Linked DNA regions of Drosophila melanogaster. The gene in region 2 interacts genetically with the main gene of each other region. Each region holds a gene or a part of one and is shown on either strand. Other genes may lie near its edges.

Region 1 (7,873 bases), on a different chromosome or scaffold from region 2:
ATTGACTAATACATTTGAGGGAATACTTTCAAGTCCATAGTGATTTCGAGAACTCTGCAAAATAAGTTCGCGTTGATTTTTCGTGTGCTGGGTCTGGGGAATAGAGGGTGTTGGGATCGGTTGGTTGGTAGCATTCGAGCCTCCTAGCCACCCACAACGTATTTACAAGACGACCACTGGAAAGCCTCCAGGTGCACCTAGTAAAAGAATAGCAGCCGTTCCTGGGCAGAGGCGGAAAGGAGGCGCCACGATCGCTTGATGCTGACATACTGTATTAAAGCGCGTATGCTGATCAGGAAGCCAAAGGCACAGATCAGCCACCAGAGCCAGGAGTTTTCGTGCGAGGCCAAGTCCGTCGAGTGCTTCACGATCAGCGTCCATTTAGCCAGCGACAATCCGAATCCCGACAATGCTCCATATCGGGCGGCGATTGTGTGACAGAAACAGGTGAGCATCAGGAAGCCGATCCAGTTAAACAAAAAGGCCACAATGAAGGCCGTGATGAACATGATGTCCGTGCCGAGCAAGTTGTCGGTGGTGGACAGACTATTTTCCGGATCGCTGGCATCGATGGCGATGAACGTGAGTGCCGGCTGGGCAGATCGCACAGCAGCGGCTCCATCGCGCAGCGGATTTGGCGGCAGTAGCGGATTCGGCGGCGGCGGTAGCTGCTGCGAGGAGGGTAAAGTCAAAAAGGCGGGCGGCAGCTCTCCGTTCAGCGACTTTTCCATTTGAACCTCCTCGTACGTGGGCAACTTCCCGTGTATTTCTGGCGGCAGTTGTGCATTCATAAGGTCCGCCTGGCTCGGCAGCTGCACTTGCATCTGTATCGGGATCTGACTGGGATCGGGTGTGGCCAAGGCCAGCGGTGGCATCTGAGCCGGCAGTGCTACCTGCTGGCCATGGCCAACGTTCGCCTCGTACGGTGGCGGAGCACTGAAGTCCGCCTTTGGCGGTCCCAACTGATCATCCCCGGGAGACGGCTGGTTGTTGTGCGGCATGACTGGAAATTACAAACGGAAAACGGGAAAATTAATTCAGTGCTTAAGGGGTTACAAAGCATATGAATTTTTTTGACAGCCTAAGGTGACGTCTCAGAAAAGAAGATTCTTAAGAAATTCTTTTCTTTCTTACATACTAAATTTAAGATATCCTTATTTTCGTGTAGCTTAACAGATCAACTGTTTAGTATTTACATGCATCTCTGAAATAAAAGGAAAATCAAGGCCATGGTGAATTTTGTGCAAACTATTCCCAATCAAATTCTAAAGGTATTCGAAATTTGCATTATCTAAATTGAAAGTAAAGCTGGTGATTTAGTTCTCGCTTTTATTGACGATATTAGTTCACGCGTTTTTTTTTTTAATAAAATTAGGTGTATAATAAATAAATGGGCGGCTAGCTGCCAAAATTGCATTGAATTATATCTAGATTTATTTTTATCTCTCTCTGAGCAATCAGTTTTCGTTCGTTAATACTTGATCTAAATGTGTTATAGGCACGTCAGTAGGCACTTAGAACTACGGCATTCGCCATCTCAATCAGATGGCAAAAATAATAGTTTCGTTTAGCAGTTAAAATAAACAGTTGGACATGTTAGACATTTAAAAACAAATGAGCAGCCAGGCTAATTAGTTAGCGCAAAAGTTCGTTGCAATGCCTGGGGCGATTGGAGGCTTTCGCTTGAAGGTGGGCCTCCTCCAGCGATAGGATGCGGCAGGGTCCAAAGGGACGTCTCACTGGACGTAAGGGTCGCAAGCCATCCACCTCGTCCATGCCCTCGTTCTGACAGCCACCGTCGGTCGTTGTGGTTGTGGTGCTGTCGTGCAGCTTTTGTTTTTGCAGCTTCTCGTGTCGCAGATACAAAACCACACAGCACATGGCCATAAACAGAAGGGCCAGCGTTGCTCCGCTAACAATGCTGGCCTTCTCTAGCATCACACGGTTCCTGGTTGGCAGGTACGAGCCATCAATCTCCTTGTACTCGCACCTCGGACCCATAAATCCCAGCGCACATTCGCAGTTGTATAGGATTTCATTGTGGATCTTCACCGTAAAGCAGGTGCCATCGTTCAGGCAATACCAGGCGACATAGGTCGGTGGACAGGCGAAGATCGGGAAGGTGACATTCGGTCTCGGCGTTGTGGATATTTCCACATTATCCGGCGGCAGGATCGGTGCAGCTGTTGGCCGCGGCTTAGCGATGGCACGCGAGGAACAGGCGGCGGTGAGCGGTAGGTAAGCGCCGATTAAAGCGGTGGCAAGCAGCAGCAGATCCTGGGCTCGCATCTTGATCTTAACTCATGGCAGCTTACTTGGGAATGTGGCAATGCAGTTTAAGGTGTTTTGTAATGTGGAATTCTTGGCTTTGGCTGGCAGGCGGCTGCAAAACAAAAACGAAGTGCAATTAAAAACAAATCAAAAATGTAAGCTCGTGTTCGGGTCTGTGTGGGTTAATTGCCTGCCTAGCACCGCCAGCCGCCTCCTTCTCACAATTACAACCTATGCTCCTCGACCTAAGTGAGAACGAGAAACAGAAAATCGAATTTCATAAATTTTTAACAAAAAAATGACATCGTTTATTTACCTGGCCGGAATCGCGAGCGGAACCCAAGCGGCTGTGGCATTTGCACAGCCTGCATTCATTATCAATTGGTTTTTCTGTTTACACTCTCACTTAACATAGCGAACACTTCAGGCACTTCAATATATAAAAACTGTTTAATACAAGATGTATTTAAACGTATAAAAAATTGATTTAACCTTAGGATTTCGAAACGCCTTGTTATAAACAAGATCTTTTCCGGAGAAAGAATGAGCTTCATTAGAATGTAACTGATCCCGTTGCGTATATAAACAAAATAATTCGAATGATCAACAGAAACAACGATGTTGAGTAATTCTGCTGAAACAAATACATCATTTGTAAGCAACATTTGAGTGGCGACCATTTGAGTGGGCGTAAAAAACATAAACAAATTAGTGCTCGCCTTAGTTGTGATCCACAATAACAGTGTCGTTTTCAGAAACACTAATTTTCGGAATTCCACTTAACGTAAATTAAAACTTTCTAAGTGCTTTCAATAAACGCTAGTCATGCCAACTTAACTGTCTAAATTTATATTAGGAAATATGTCAGTGAAATTGAACTATTTTTTTATTCAAACATGCAATATTACATTATTAATCAAAACTAAAGTTATATTCTTCTACTTGGAAGTGAAGGAAAGAAGAGCGAAACAGTTGCAATTATAATAAATATACACTTCGTTTTAAAAAGTTTTGCTTTCGTCACCTGTTTGGATGTTAGCACATTAAATCTAATATTTGTACTTTATTTCAAACAGTCAATTATATATAAGATAGCATTTAGCTTTTATTTTCTAGGACTCTCGTCACTAGTCGGAATCTCAATCCACAGTCGCGAGTCCTTGGACTAAACCGTGTCCAATTGCTTTGTAAAGCTCAACGGAGCCCTAAGCCCCATAAAATTTCCCCTTTCCTCCCATCACATGTGTGGCACGCACCTACGTCTAAAAATAACAACAACAAAGCTCACGAGTGAAAGTTGACAGCTGAAATGGCAGGAGAAGAGTGCGAGTGCGAGTGCGAGTAGGACAGTGCGACAGTCGCAAAACACAAATGCAATTAAGATGACCTTTCGGTCAATTGAAATATAAACGGAGCCAAACGAGCAAAACAAAAATAGTTCAAGCCAATAAAGAAACTGCGTGAGTGGGCTTAAGTTGGCCCTAATTTCTGCGAGTGCATATATGGGTTTTTTGTATAGTTTTTTTTTATATCTGTGGGTATGTGGGTGAGCCGGACGTAAGCTTGAATAATGAGCTAATAGGCGCCAACGAGCTAAATGAGCACCTGGTGGCTTATCAAAAATTGACCTCACAAACAGCAGAGTACACAGAAATAAATTTTGATATCATATATGATATGATTTTTGTATCAGAATACAAAAGACTTTGGTTTCATATGCACTCAATAATTACTTTTGTATACACACTTTAAAATACTTCAATAAATATAGGAAAACATAAACAGTACTATTTGTATAATTAAATTTAGAGGTGTCCAATTTTTTTCGTGCGCAGGAATATCTAAAATCACAGTCAACACAGAGAAACCGTATTGATAAGGTGACAAATACCATCCACAGGTGCGGAAAGCAAGTGGATGCTAGGCAGTAATTACAGTTACCTGTGGATGAGTCAGATGTGCGGGCATTTGAAAAATTGCAAAATTGCACGAAACCGAGAGATTGCACATTGTACAGTTGAACTTATCTGCGTTTTGCCAATACATTTGGTAATATCATTTTAAATAAGACTCTATAGTGACACACAAAGATTTGGAGGATTTCACAATCAATCCCAATGTAAAGCGACTTTGCTCATTCTTATTTTTTAAGAATTCACTAACAATCGGGCTCAAGTACACTTATCGTTAACATGCTTCAAAGCTGGCATATAATTATTTTCAATGTAATATATACATATAAAAACTTAGGTAAGGTTCTCTGGAAAATACACTGGTTTTTCCATTGAAAAACAATAGATGTTTAAACCGAATAAATCGATTTGCTTTTAATGCGTATGCATTCGGCTAAAAATAATTTTTGAATCTTTAAAATAAATAGAAAAGCTTTTACATTTCTAAATGTCAACACATATGGAATTACCTTTGAAACAGATGAGAAATTTTGTGCAAAATATATACATATTTTTTTTTAATAATTCCATCTGGATTTGTAATTCCAAAAGTGTTTTTGTATCTAACAATATACAGTATTAAAAAAACAGTATTTGGTATCTATAGAATAATATGTGGTTTGTCATAGCCAAGTTTTACTGCGTATGCGTGTATGTAAAAATAGGATTGGAGAGGGAGTTAGAGCTCTCGAGAGGGAGAAAGCAACAGGGCCGTGACAAAAGGCGTTGGAAATTAGGGAATTGCCGTGGAAAAGTAACAACGCAGTTTGGGCCAGGTTTTGGGTTTCAGCCGGAGTTTGTTCGGTGATAAGAAATTTGAGCGCGTGGACAGCTGCCAAGCAGCAGGTGTGCGCAAGGGAGAGGGCGATAGAGGAGGCATCAGTGGAATAAAGCATAAAGTAAACCAGTTAAACGGGACCGGGAGCACAAGAGAGAGGATGAAGATGCAAGCGGAAGAAGCTGAAGAAGATGCAGATGGAGCTGTCTGAATGGAAGGTCTCTCAAGGGGCAATTTCCTGGATTGAATGAAAAACACACAGGCACCGACAGCTGCAGTGGTATTGCAGTGGAATAGAGAAAGAATAAGATTAGGAGCGAAGAGGGGAGGCGGTCGACTGCGAGAACGAGTTTCCAAGCAAACGGCGCTTGTTGTTATTGTACAAGGGCAAATGAATTAATTTACTTGAGTAAATATGAATTAAATAAACAAGTACACCGACACAGGGGTAGACTTATCGGAGTGTGCACTTTTTTTTTTAGCGTTTAGCACCTGAGTGGCGAAATCTAGCAGAATTAAGATTATTAATGTGCTAAACAAAACATAAACACATGTACACACACAAACGCACAACTGGGGCTAAAGTGCTGAGGAGGGGGAGAGAGAGCCTTAAATCTCCAGGAGTGCTCCTGTAACGGTTATTTGTTTCCCTTTCTTCGCCCTTTCTTTTCACGTCTATTTCTGTACCCGATTTTAATTCGATTTGATTCTAGTTCGCCTTTTCTATGCCATGTTCTATTTATTCACCTTGTTTTCTTCTATGCGTTGGTCGATTGCGATTGCGTTCGCTTTTCTCTTTTGCGCAGCGCTCTCTCACGTTTCCGTTTTATTGATTTTGTTCGAATTTTGTTGACTTGTTGTTGCCAAACACGCACACAGCTAATACTGTTGGTTTTTTGGCAGAACTGCGACAGTAGGCGTTTCGCTTTCAAGTGGCTTCACTATACGCAATTTAAATAATTTAAAACTGGGCTCACTTCGCGAGCGAAGCGAAAAAAACAAATGCACCACCACGAATAATCTTCGATTTCTGAGCTAGTGGTGGCCAGCTGCTGGGCAGTCCGTATCGATTGTAGGGATGTAAGCGTGATAAGCTATCGAATCACATGAAATTAGTTATTAACATCGGAAAATAAACTTGCGTACTTGAATATAAAAACCTGAAATTATTTTGTACACTTTTATAGTGACAAAAGTTTCAAATTGCTGAAAAAATATCAAGAAATAATAATAATAAGTTTATTAAAGCTGTTCAAAAGTTTGATTAATTGTCTAATTCATAAACAGTATACGGAATACCCTAAACGATGAAAAGACAAGCAACCCGAATATAATCGATAAGCCTAAATAATGTTATTTTCCCTTCTACTCATCACTAAGCTAAGAAAATTTTGTAAACAACGACGTGGACGTAGTAAATTTAATTAGAATTTAGCCACAAAAATGCATAAATGTGCTATATTTCTTCTACTGGCTTTAAGTGTAAGTTATGTCTGAAGCTAAGACATGTTTTTAATATATATTTTATACCCTACAGTGCCAGCAAATTCAAGCCGAATTGACGGCCGCCGACTGCCGGGCGTTGGGTTTTATTAAGGCCCAGTTAATGTGTTCCAGTTGCGAAAAACTGGATGATTTCGGATTGGATACCATCAAGTGGGTTCAATAACATTTAATTAATCTAGCTTTGGAGTTGTAAAGATACCCATGAACTATGCTATAATCATTCCATAAGAAGACCTGAAAATTGTTTAATTAATATGTTAATCTAATTAGATCAGGTTAAATTTCATACCTCATTTTAAATATTCCAACCAAAAATGCTTAGCTTGACTTAGTAAGCTCCTCCATACCACTGACTAAATATGATTCTTCCTTCAGTTTTTAATAACAAAAATTATATTAACTTTTTATAGTTTCTGCTTGAGCCCATTGCTCTTTTTTATTCATCCAAAACATTTTTAACATTTCAGGCCTCAGTGTAAGCAATGCTGCACTTTGGATCAGCAGCCGGCGGCACAGCGGACATATGCCAAGGCAATTCTGGAGGTGTGCACCTGCAAATTCCGGGCCTATCCGCAGATTCAGGCCTTTATTCAAAGCGGCCGACCTGCCAAGTTCCCCAACCTGCAGATCAAATACGTAAGAGGACTGGATCCCGTGGTTAAGCTCCTAGATGCCAGTGGCAAAGTGCAGGAGACGTTGTCCATAACCAAGTGGAACACAGACACTGTCGAGGAGTTCTTCGAAACGCATCTGGCCAAGGATGGTGCCGGCAAGAATTCGTACAGCGTGGTGGAGGATGCCGATGGAGATGACGATGAAGATTACCTGCGAACCAACAGGATCTAAAATAAGCATACCCAAAACTGTAGATTAATAAAATCCGAAACAAAACTATAGACCGTACCATTTTCTTTCAAAATCATTGAATATTTATATTTTGTTAAATATATTCTGTTCAAGAACTAAAAATGTGTAGACGTGAGATTAGTACTCCAAACTTCTGGGATGTCAAGCCACTGAATTTAAAAAATATAAACATCAAGATCAGGGATATACATAAAATTGGCTTGTAATATGAGAGATCTAATCTAACTAAAGAGATTTAGTTTTTAAAAGTTTTTAGAGCCACTGCAAGGTGGCGTGAGCTTTTCTACGCGCCACCGCGGAAAAGCTGTGGACACAGTTTGAGAGTAACTGACAAGCCAGTTACTGCAATGCGACGCCGTGGGAGTTTTCGATTCATAAGTATAAATTAAATCATTTTATTTGTTATCTTGTTATCGATGGCAAAGGAAAGTTCCCGGCTGAGGCAACAAATTCGCGGCATTGTAGCCGAAATTCTTATCGCAAAGACATCACACCACAC
Region 2 (4,915 bases):
TTCCAGCGTAAGAGCTCTCATTAAAGACAGCTCTTCGGGATGCGGAGTTGATAAATCACTCAAAAAAATAAACCCAAAAATCATCATTATTTACGTCCCCCATCAAAACTTTGCCCTCAGCCATTGCCAATTCGCATGGGTTGAATCAACTTTGTCTGTTTTCTTTTGGCCTTTTTGACGAGACACTACACCCGCATGTATTTGGATCTGGGGCTTTTTGCGATTATTGCTTTGGGGATTCGATCGTTTTTTGCATGTTGGTTGGTTTGCTTACCTTATGGACTAACAGTATTAAAATTAAAGCAATTAAGTTGCAGGCAGACTTTAATGATCGACAATCGCGGATCGTCGATGGCAGGGTCGCGATTTTGGGTACCCGATGCCTCGGACGCTGCCTTTTTGTCGCCGTCTTCTTGGACATTCCCAGGCTGTCTGCTGATTCTATTGTTGACTCCAACGACGACGACGTAGCTGGTTTTCGCCGAAAATGTTTCCTAAACATTTTGTACATTCTGGGGGCGTTTGCGAGCGTGATGCTGGTTGGCGATCTAGATGGAGTTTGTTTCGGATTCACTCTGGATTGGCACCACACAAATGTAAATTCGCTGGGCAGCCTTAATTAGCCCATGTATGCAGATTTTGGTGCCTTTGTTTGTTTCTATTTTGCCACACTACACTTGCTCTGGATAGCTGAATAACTGGCCGTACTCTGGATGCTGTATCATTTTCTCCACTTTGCCTTCGTTTTGTTTGGTTTTGTTTGGATAATGTTGTTATCACACACAATTATTATTTATTATTTATATGGACCTTAGTATGTGCTTCTCTCGTTTTTGTTTTGTTCACACTTGACACTTCCACTTGATAGGCGCTGATGTTTTGTAGATCTTTAGCTGTAACAATTGTCGAACGAATTGGAATTGAAACGGGCTGCGCAAAATCTATTTCACTGTGCATCATCAACGCTAATTGACACGCAGATGATGCTGCTGCTGCTGCAGTTGCAGTTGCAGTAGCGGCAACCGCAGCAAGCCGCAACAAGTGCCACCAGCCACCGCAGCAACATTTACTTTTGCCAGACCGCAAAAAGCGGCAACGTGCAGCAAATGCAAATGCAATTCAATTTATGTTAATTTAACGCTGTTACTGCCGCTGCTGATGTGGCTGCTTCTGCAGTTGCTGCTGCTGCGACTATGGAGCCGTGTCTTTGGCCACAAACAATTTGCATCTTGTGCGCATATTAATTTACAGATATTTTCACTCTTGCTCACATTACTCATTCTTCCCACCCTGCCGCTGCTTTTGCCATTCCGGCCATCCTATCCTCCCATGGCCTTTAGCCCCCCAGCCCGCCCCGGTTCCTCCTGCTCGGGTGTTAATTGTCCATTTAATTAAGTAATTTGCTTGGGGCCTCCTCCCGGCTTTGGCACGGAACGGAAGTCGTTGACTTTGAATCGAAACCCAGATGCTGCCGCTCTTGCTCATGCTGCTGCTGCTGCTGCCGCTGATGTGGATGTTGCTGCTGCTGCAGGGCATGACCGGAAGTGGCTTTTGCAAGTGGATGATGCAGCTACCTCCCCCTTAATACCCCCTAATACCGCTACTTTCACTCTTCTCTCTTGGCAATTTGCAAAACGATGAATGAACTTCTAGCGGCCTCAAAACTTTAGTATACCGTGTATCCATTTCTATTTCTAGTAACTTCTGGATATACTCTGATTTATCAAATAATTGTGCAACCAGATCACCGTCTTGAACTTAACGATCTGAATAAGCTTTGGACCGTGCTAGATCCGTTATTCGTTGCATATGGTAAATCATTGAGCAGTGCATCGAGCATTTTCCGCGCTCTCTTGATCAGGGGCTTTCCCATGCTCGTACCACCCATTCAGAACCAAACTGATTTCACAATCTCTCTTTTCTCCCGGTGCACAGAAGAAAACTACACTACTTCATCTATACGGAAAGTTCTTTAACTTTCTAATAAAACATTTGTTATTCAATTCAAAATTCTTTAAATTTAGAAAAAAAAATCCGTGTTAAGCATCGCTTTTAGAAAGTCAAATACTTTCAATAGGTTGTTTGGGAATCCCACTTATTAAGTTCTAGTGGAAATTTCTCTATGTGCGCCCATTATTATTATTATTTGTATTATCTGCGTGCATTATGAACTAGTCGGATGTTTTCATTCTTTCTCCCTTTCACTTGGCATGTTTCAATTCCACTTCGTAGTTGTAGCTTCGTGTGTTTGTGTCCCTGTTTTGCGTCCCTGTGTGCGTTATCAATGGAGCACACTGTGGCCAGCGATTCCCCCGGAATGGGGCACTCGTTTTCGCATATTCACATTGTTTGCACTTTTACTTTTCGCCTTTGATTAAACACAATTTTGACGGCATTGTATTTTGATATATTAATGTATTGTATTTAATTGAAAGGTATTTCCGTTTTCCTTAGCTCACACGATCTGGGCTCAGAAATTAATCACACACTATGGAAACACACACATAGCAAAATGTCGGCTGATTGTCGATCTTTCGATTTGCTTTTCTTCCACCGAGCATTTGTAGTTGATTGCTCTTCATCATTTGTTGTAATCAGCAAGCAATTTAATTCGATTGCGGCACATTAAACACTTTCACAATTGTTATATGGATGATGGTCGGTGGCGTTCAGTTTGGGTGCACAATAATCCAATTCGAGGAGGGGTTTTACCGTTGACAGAAAAGGGGCTCATCACCGCTCGAAGCACGGCGCTCGACTAAACGCGTTAACCGAATCCTGCGGCATTTCCAGCCCTCGAGCAGCATCCATTCACGGGGCGGAGCAAGTCACGCGAGAGAGCTGCGGTTTTGGTGGTGGTAAAGGTGGTGAGGTGAGCTGTCGCTGCTGCTGCTGGTGGTGGTGGTGGTGGTGGTGATCTGCAGTCTTAAGAGAACTGTGGCTCGGTCTGAACCACCGAAACCGCTTTCAAAATAAACTGGCGACGACTTCCGCTGAGTGCTGCGTGCGCTTCAGGCTTCGACTAACGACTGATTGCCTCTGGGCACAAGTTGCCGTCGATCCCGAGAGCTTAACTCGCAGCGATTCTCTCTGTGCTTCTCTTTGAAGAAAACCAGTTTGCTCTTCGTGCAGTGCTCTTTAGCCAGCCGCTGATTGGTCGTACGACTGTATATAGCCCCGGGGCCCGGAATCTGAATCAGAATCGGCAGTTAATGGAGTTGCTGCCGCTTCGGCTGCTGCACGCATGCGCGCCCGAGGCTCTCGGCTGCCGTTTTTTACGATTCCAACTTAATTATGCCAATAAGTGCATTCTGGGGCTGTGTGTGTATGTGTGTGTGTGCTCCAGATCTAGTAGCTCCAAGGGACTGGCAATTAACACCTAATATGAAGGAACGCTCCCACAATCTTTAACGGCTGGGAACCAAATCGAAAGATACTAGCATCGGCCAATTATTAACCACACAGACAGAGCGGCGACTTCCATCCAATTATCTGCTGGCCAAAAGTGTATAAATCAAATTTAAATGCAACTGGCCTATCAGTGCAGCCAAAACAAAAGACTTAAGCAACAAACTTGGCAATTACATGCGGCCAACAAGACAGGCGGCAGCATCTTTGTTGTTGCTGCTGCCTACCTTACTGTTGTTGTTAGCGGCTCATATTTCTTGAGGCGCATATCTAAATATCGAATCATGTTGCTGATTTTCCATTGTCTGCCCACCACAGCAACAACAGCAGCAGCAACAACTGCTGCTGCCTCAACAACTGCAACAACACATAGTAAATCTCATTGTGCCGTTGTGACATGACTCTTGTTCGACAATAGATAAAACAAATTGACTTGGTGTGTGCCCAAAATGTCTTCTCTAGCCGTCTCCCTGGCCATTTGGGTCTCCATCCTCCTCTATTTGGTGGGCGTACTGGGCAGCGGTCTCCCAGCTCCTTTGTCATCTTTTCTCGCTTAAAAAAAAAGAAGAAAAAAAAAACAGAAGAAATGGAAGAAAAACTGCACTACAATGCCCATTATCAGCTTACATATCTGCGACAAGAGACCCCAGAGCGGCAATTGTACGGGCCACCGAGACGGCAACGGCAAAGGCAACTGCCAGCGGCAATGGCAACGGCTTCGTTGTCCAAATATGTTGCAAGTTGGTGTTATTCTTCACACGGCATCATAAATTTCACGTATAATTGACGCTTTCAGTTATATCAAAATTGGCTAAAAGGCGACGACCAGCTTTGCGTTGGTGGCCAGCAGACTACAGCCTTCAGCCATCAGCCTCCAGAGACTTCGAGCTGGTGCTCCCCAGAGATATTATTTTTGCTCACTGTGGCTTACATTGTTTTCGTTTTGATTTCAACTAATAGCAGACAACGACTTACAGGTGTCTTTGTGCGCGTCTCTCATAATTTGGGGGCACTCTGTGTTGGCGGCTTGTTGGACACTTGTTCGGGTTTGATGGCATTTCTTTTTTGGGATTAGCTTTCGTTTTCCGGCCAAGTGTTTTTGTGTTTTTTGGTTTTACTGTCACATGTAACAGCTGCAAAAGTGGACCAGAGCGGTGGCATAAATCCATAAAATCAAACATATTGAGTAATCAAAATGTTAAACCCACCCTCTTGACAAAGGTTCACCCCCTCAAACCAAAAAAACCCTCGTTGGGCGAGTTCATTAAACAAACAGGCAAATATGTTGGCAATTTCAACCAGTTGGTTTTACACCACTCAACATTTTATGACAGATTTTTCAAGTGTTTTTTCCGCCTCCTCGTTTTTCTTTTTTAATTTTTCACTCCTCCTGCTGCCGTTGTGGTGGCTGTTTGCGGTTAGTGGTTTCTGGTGGTTTAGTGGTTGCCACATAGTGGCCGCCCTTCGTCCGGAGAATCATTGCCTTAGGTTAGTTGTTTACGAAGGC
Region 3 (4,661 bases), about 18 Mb from region 2:
CAAGATAGCTAGCTCTTTAGAAAAAAGCTAGCAAAGTTAGCACAAGCATCTTTGTGTATATCCCCAATAGTTAACAACTGGTATTTATAGTTAATCAGTTGCAAAACGTTTACACTTGTAGAGATAACATTTCGCAGTGTCCGTTATCAAAGCGCGAAATTAAGCAGTGCTTCATATCAGCTATATGAACTATACTATACTACAATAACTATACGCAAACTTCAGAATGACACATCGAGATGATGACCTCATGAGGGGGAGAAAAATAAGTGAAAAAATAACGAAGGGGATGCATGAAAGTGGAAAAATATAGCAACAGATGTATGTAGCGAAAATGCTCAGCATACAACTGTGCTCAACAGAAAATGGCTTACTGGGAAATCAACAATAATATGTTAATATTGAAGCAATATTAGCAAAATGTCTCTTAAACATTATGTTTACAGAAATTTGTTTTTAAGCGGCGACTTACATATTTTGAACTTAATAGAATAACATTTTAGGTCTCAGAAGTTAATGTATGTATATTTATGGTGACCAACATTGTACTTAGATATGTACTTATATGTACAAACTTCCTTGGGGGGTGCGTACCGTCATTAACAATTGACTATTTACTTTTGGCCAACAATCGAAGGTCGGGCGACAATTTGTATTTGTGTGTCCCATAATCGGGGTCTCAAAGACGAGTTGGCAGTGCTCAGTTGCAAGCACACGCACGGCCAAGCAAACCATTTCGAAAAGTAAACCGTGAGAAGCTAAGTAAAAGCCAAGAGCAGATAAACTTTTTAGCCAAAGCAAACGTGGCATGCCAACACACAATAATAATAACAACAACAAACAAGGTACGAAATGTAATAGAAAATGCAGGTACAAAAAAGCAAAAGCAGCTGACGCCGAGCAAAACAACAACAAAGCAATTTCATTGATTACCGATAGGCAACGCACGTTCAAAACAAACGGACTGGAGCCGCCGCATAAAACATAAACCATTGCGGGCTTAAGCGCTCAGCAGAAAAATAAAAACTCCAAACACACTCAAGCTTCAAAGCCACGCCTCTTCCTCTTCTCATCCCGCTAGTCCATGGCTCTTCTCTTCTTCTCCTGCCGTGGATCGTTTGCTTTTCTGTTGTTGCTACCTTTGTTTTTGCTTTTGCCGATGGCGGCAACGGCGCTTCGCGTACAATTCCCCGAAAGGCAACAGCAACAACAACAAGCAATACTGAATGAGGCAGATGCAAAAACAGTGGTGGCGGGAAAAATGGAATCTCTTAAATACAGTACAATATTTTGCATAGCCACTTTTGACAAATAAAACTATTCCAGTGCTGAAGGACTAAATTAATAACTTTTTTTTATTATTCATATTGCGTCGTTCGTTGATATTCGACTGCTAGTTGTGCGACCACAATTGTTCGTAGGAGGCCAGTAAAAATAAAAAAAAAAGGGGTAGAAGCTTAGCCTATGCGTCACTGGCTTTGCTTTGCTTTTGCTTCGCCTGCTTTGGCCAAAAAAGAGAGCATTGAAGCCGAGAATGCAATTGAGCCAAAGTCAAAAAAAAAAGGTGATTTGTTGTTTTTACTTCTTTTTTTTTGTCTTTCCTTAGCTCAGCTGCTTGCAACCAAAACAAAAACAGCGCAACAAATTCCCCAGCCCAGATAATCGTTATGATAAACATAATCGCTCCTTGGGAAAATTGCTTTTGGTGGTATTTTCTTCAACTCAAGATCCCTCCGATCTGGTCTTCTCGATCAATTTGCGGTTACTTGGGTGCGATTGAAAAATTCAGTTTTCGAGAACTGACATTTCCGGCGAAAAAGTCGGAGTGTCGATGTTAAATTCTGCCGAAAAAGCCTTGAGAGAATTTCACATTTAAGATTTTTTCGCGCTTCTTTTGTGTCTATCTAGTCGGAAAAAAACAATTACTATTATAATCGCAAACTGGGCGTGTTCTGGGTGAGCATTTATTCATTAGCTTTTTGTTTTAAACTAACTCAAACTTTTTCGGTTTTTGCTCTTATCTTTCGTTATTTGTTATTGTTCTTGAGACGTAAAATGCTAATGTATGCATAAATGATTGCGGCTGGCTGTGTTTCTCGCTTATTTATCTTGCCGCTTTAATTAACCGAATGAATGAAAGAGCGATAGGTCAGACCACATGCTAATATTATGTGGGAATATCGCTGGAGATAAAAATACGATTCCCAGATCGATGAATAATGTATTTAAGGCATTTTCGCACGCGGTAATTACATTTGCTTCAAGACTTTAATGGTCAGATATCACGAAGGAAGTTTTATATTGTTAAAATGTACTACATCTACTTTAGAACCCAATCACACTGATTTTAAAAATTATTCCTGGATATTCCGAGAATTGTACGTCCTTTGAAAAACGACTTGGAAATTAACTGAATATTCTTGTTAATATATCCATCGATATCCTTAGCCCGATTCTTAGCCTGGTACTAATGCGACTACTAACCCAATCCAAAGCGCTTCTTGATCTTCTTGAGCAAGTGCATTTTCTTCTTGCTAGAGAGCTTGTCCTTGGTGCTCATGAGCAGCTCGTTGGACTCCATGGCCAGGACCTGGGCGGCCTGCTGGGCGGGAGTGGGCATGGCGTTGTGCAGCTGCTGCATCTGTTGCAGATGCTGCAAGTGCTGCTGATTCTGGTGGTGCTGCTGCTGCGGATGGAGAGTTAGGTGCGGATGGCTGCCCTGCATATAGTTGGCTGGTATATCCGATAGACCCATGGTAGTGGATTATTTCTTATTTCGTTATTTAAATTAAAACAGACGAACTAAACGAACACGCGTAATGCTAATGAAAATGCACAAGCTGCTTGCGTATTTTATTTGGCATTAAATTAAGCGATAGAGTTCTTCTTCGAATTTGAATGTTTTCCGTTAAAACATTTTGAATTTGGTTGGTTGTTTGTCTGCGCGCAACGGGAACAAACGAAACGAAACGATACGAAACACAAAGACCGACGACGACAACTTCGAGACAACCTTTCGCTGAGTTTTTTTTCAACAAATAAACGGTGGTGCAGCCTTTTATAGCTTCGCACCAGCGCGACGTCGCTGACGCAGCTCAGCTGGAGAGTAACGGATAGTACTGGCGCGCAGAAATTCTCCCGTCAGATTTGGCTTTTTTTAGTATATGTTTTCAAGATATTTAGAAGTTTAGGTATGCCAGTAAGACATATTTGGAAATTTAAGTTTTTTATAATTACTATTAACGTTTAGTGACAATTTGGGCTGTAGATTTGAATAACATTTCCTGTTTTACAATTTAATTAAAATCAAGAAACGGTAACTAAATTACATTAAAAATGCTTCAATTTATTTAAACTTATAATTTGTAAGCAATCTATTCAAATAATTTAAAATTTATCCATTTTCTGGCTAAGGGCTGTCAGCCCTGAGCGTGGATGGAGCGAAAAAGAGAGCTCAAGAGAGAAAATTATGAGACGCCATCGCTCTCTTTCTCTCTCTGGCAGCTGTTTCTTATTTACTATGGTTTCGCTTTGTGCCTGCTATTCGCGTGTATAGAGCCTCCCTTATAATTTACCTTTATGCCTCTAACTCTGCACCTTGATCAGGGATTCCTCCACATCTTCTCCTGCTGTTGCTCTTCCTGCTTCTTGTTGTTGTTGCTCTAGGCCTGCATTTGGGATTTTGGCCATAGTGCTCTGATCTTCACTAACAGTTATTCTCCTCACCTTAGTGTGTGTGTAGTTCAGCCAGGTTCAAAGCAATTCTTTTTCTTTTTCGCAGGGTTTACAAGGTCTGGCTCATATAACTAGAAAACTATTTCAATTGCCCTAATGCTTTTGATCGTGAACTTTGTGGGCCAAATATCACACGTACATACATATGTGTGTATGTATGTACTCAGTTGGAGTATGTATGGAGTAATTCCATGGGAATTAAAAAAAATTCCCAAACGTTTCTTGATAATAATAATAAATTTCTTCTTTTCCCAATTGTTTTCGGCACATTTAATTGTCCATTTTGTATGTGCAATTTATTTTAATAGAGAATATGAAACGAGATTTGTTTTTGTTTTGATTTTTTAAGTTTGCACTATAAAGATTATAAAATGAAATGGAAAGTTTGTAACTCAATTCCCAGTTTTGAAACCATTAGCTTACACAGAATTTAAAAAAATGTACCTATGATCTGGGACACATGCTATTGTGGTCTCATTTGCTAAGCTTTAGCATTGTGGTCAGCAGGATAACTGCCGTCTGGCGTCTGATCATCCTTTATCCTTTATGGATGCCACGCTGCCATTGATGGAGGATGATAATTGCGCCGAGCGCTCCTTATCCTCATCCTCGTCCTTTTTGTCCTGCATCGACAGACGGAACCGGGCAGACCTCACAGCAGATGCAATTTTCAAGATCGGAAGGGATCAAGACGGGGCAGAAAGCATTTAAATTTTGATATTAAAGTGGAAATGCATATTCAGCATCCTGGCAGCAGGCGTGCGTCCTGGAAATACATCTGCTGCTGCTTACCCGATTTCCCCCTCCTGTTCGCTCAGTTTGCAAAAATGCAAAAAAGGTCGGAGAAGGTGATGTTGGCGAAACAGGAACCGGCAGACATCGAGACCAACGAACAACCCCAAAAATTGTCAAAGAATACAGTGATC

Evidence for each region.
Region 1: of Ser (region 2) and Ndfip, changing one suppresses a phenotype caused by changing the other (phenotypic suppression), as found in Drosophila melanogaster (one study listed by BioGRID).
Region 3: of Ser (region 2) and neur, changing one enhances a phenotype caused by changing the other (phenotypic enhancement), as found in Drosophila melanogaster (one study listed by BioGRID).

Annotation. Positions count from the first base shown.
Region 1 is NT_037436.4:17,648,244-17,656,116, forward strand, and holds the start of Ndfip (Nedd4 family interacting protein), read right to left. Parts: upstream 6,038-7,873; 5' UTR 5,749-6,037; intron 2,384-5,748; exon of another isoform or gene 2,290-2,383; coding exon of another isoform or gene 1,636-2,289; exon of another isoform or gene 1,319-1,635; intron 1,004-1,318; 5' UTR 1,002-1,003; coding exon 198-1,001; 3' UTR 1-197. Other genes in the region: Krn (keren), read right to left, coding at 1,636-2,289; CG7484 (uncharacterized protein), read left to right, coding at 6,445-6,483, 6,539-6,657, 6,975-7,353.
Region 2 is NT_033777.3:27,191,232-27,196,146, forward strand, and holds the start of Ser (serrate), read right to left. Parts: upstream 3,037-4,915; 5' UTR 2,713-3,036; intron 894-2,712; 5' UTR 512-893; coding exon 275-511; intron 1-274.
Region 3 is NT_033777.3:9,030,695-9,035,355, forward strand, and holds the start of neur (neuralized), read right to left. Parts: upstream 3,038-4,661; 5' UTR 2,756-3,037; coding exon 2,485-2,755; intron 1-2,484. UniProt on the Drosophila melanogaster protein: Involved in neurogenesis. Interacts with other neurogenic proteins in the specification of the neuroblast versus epidermoblast cell fate.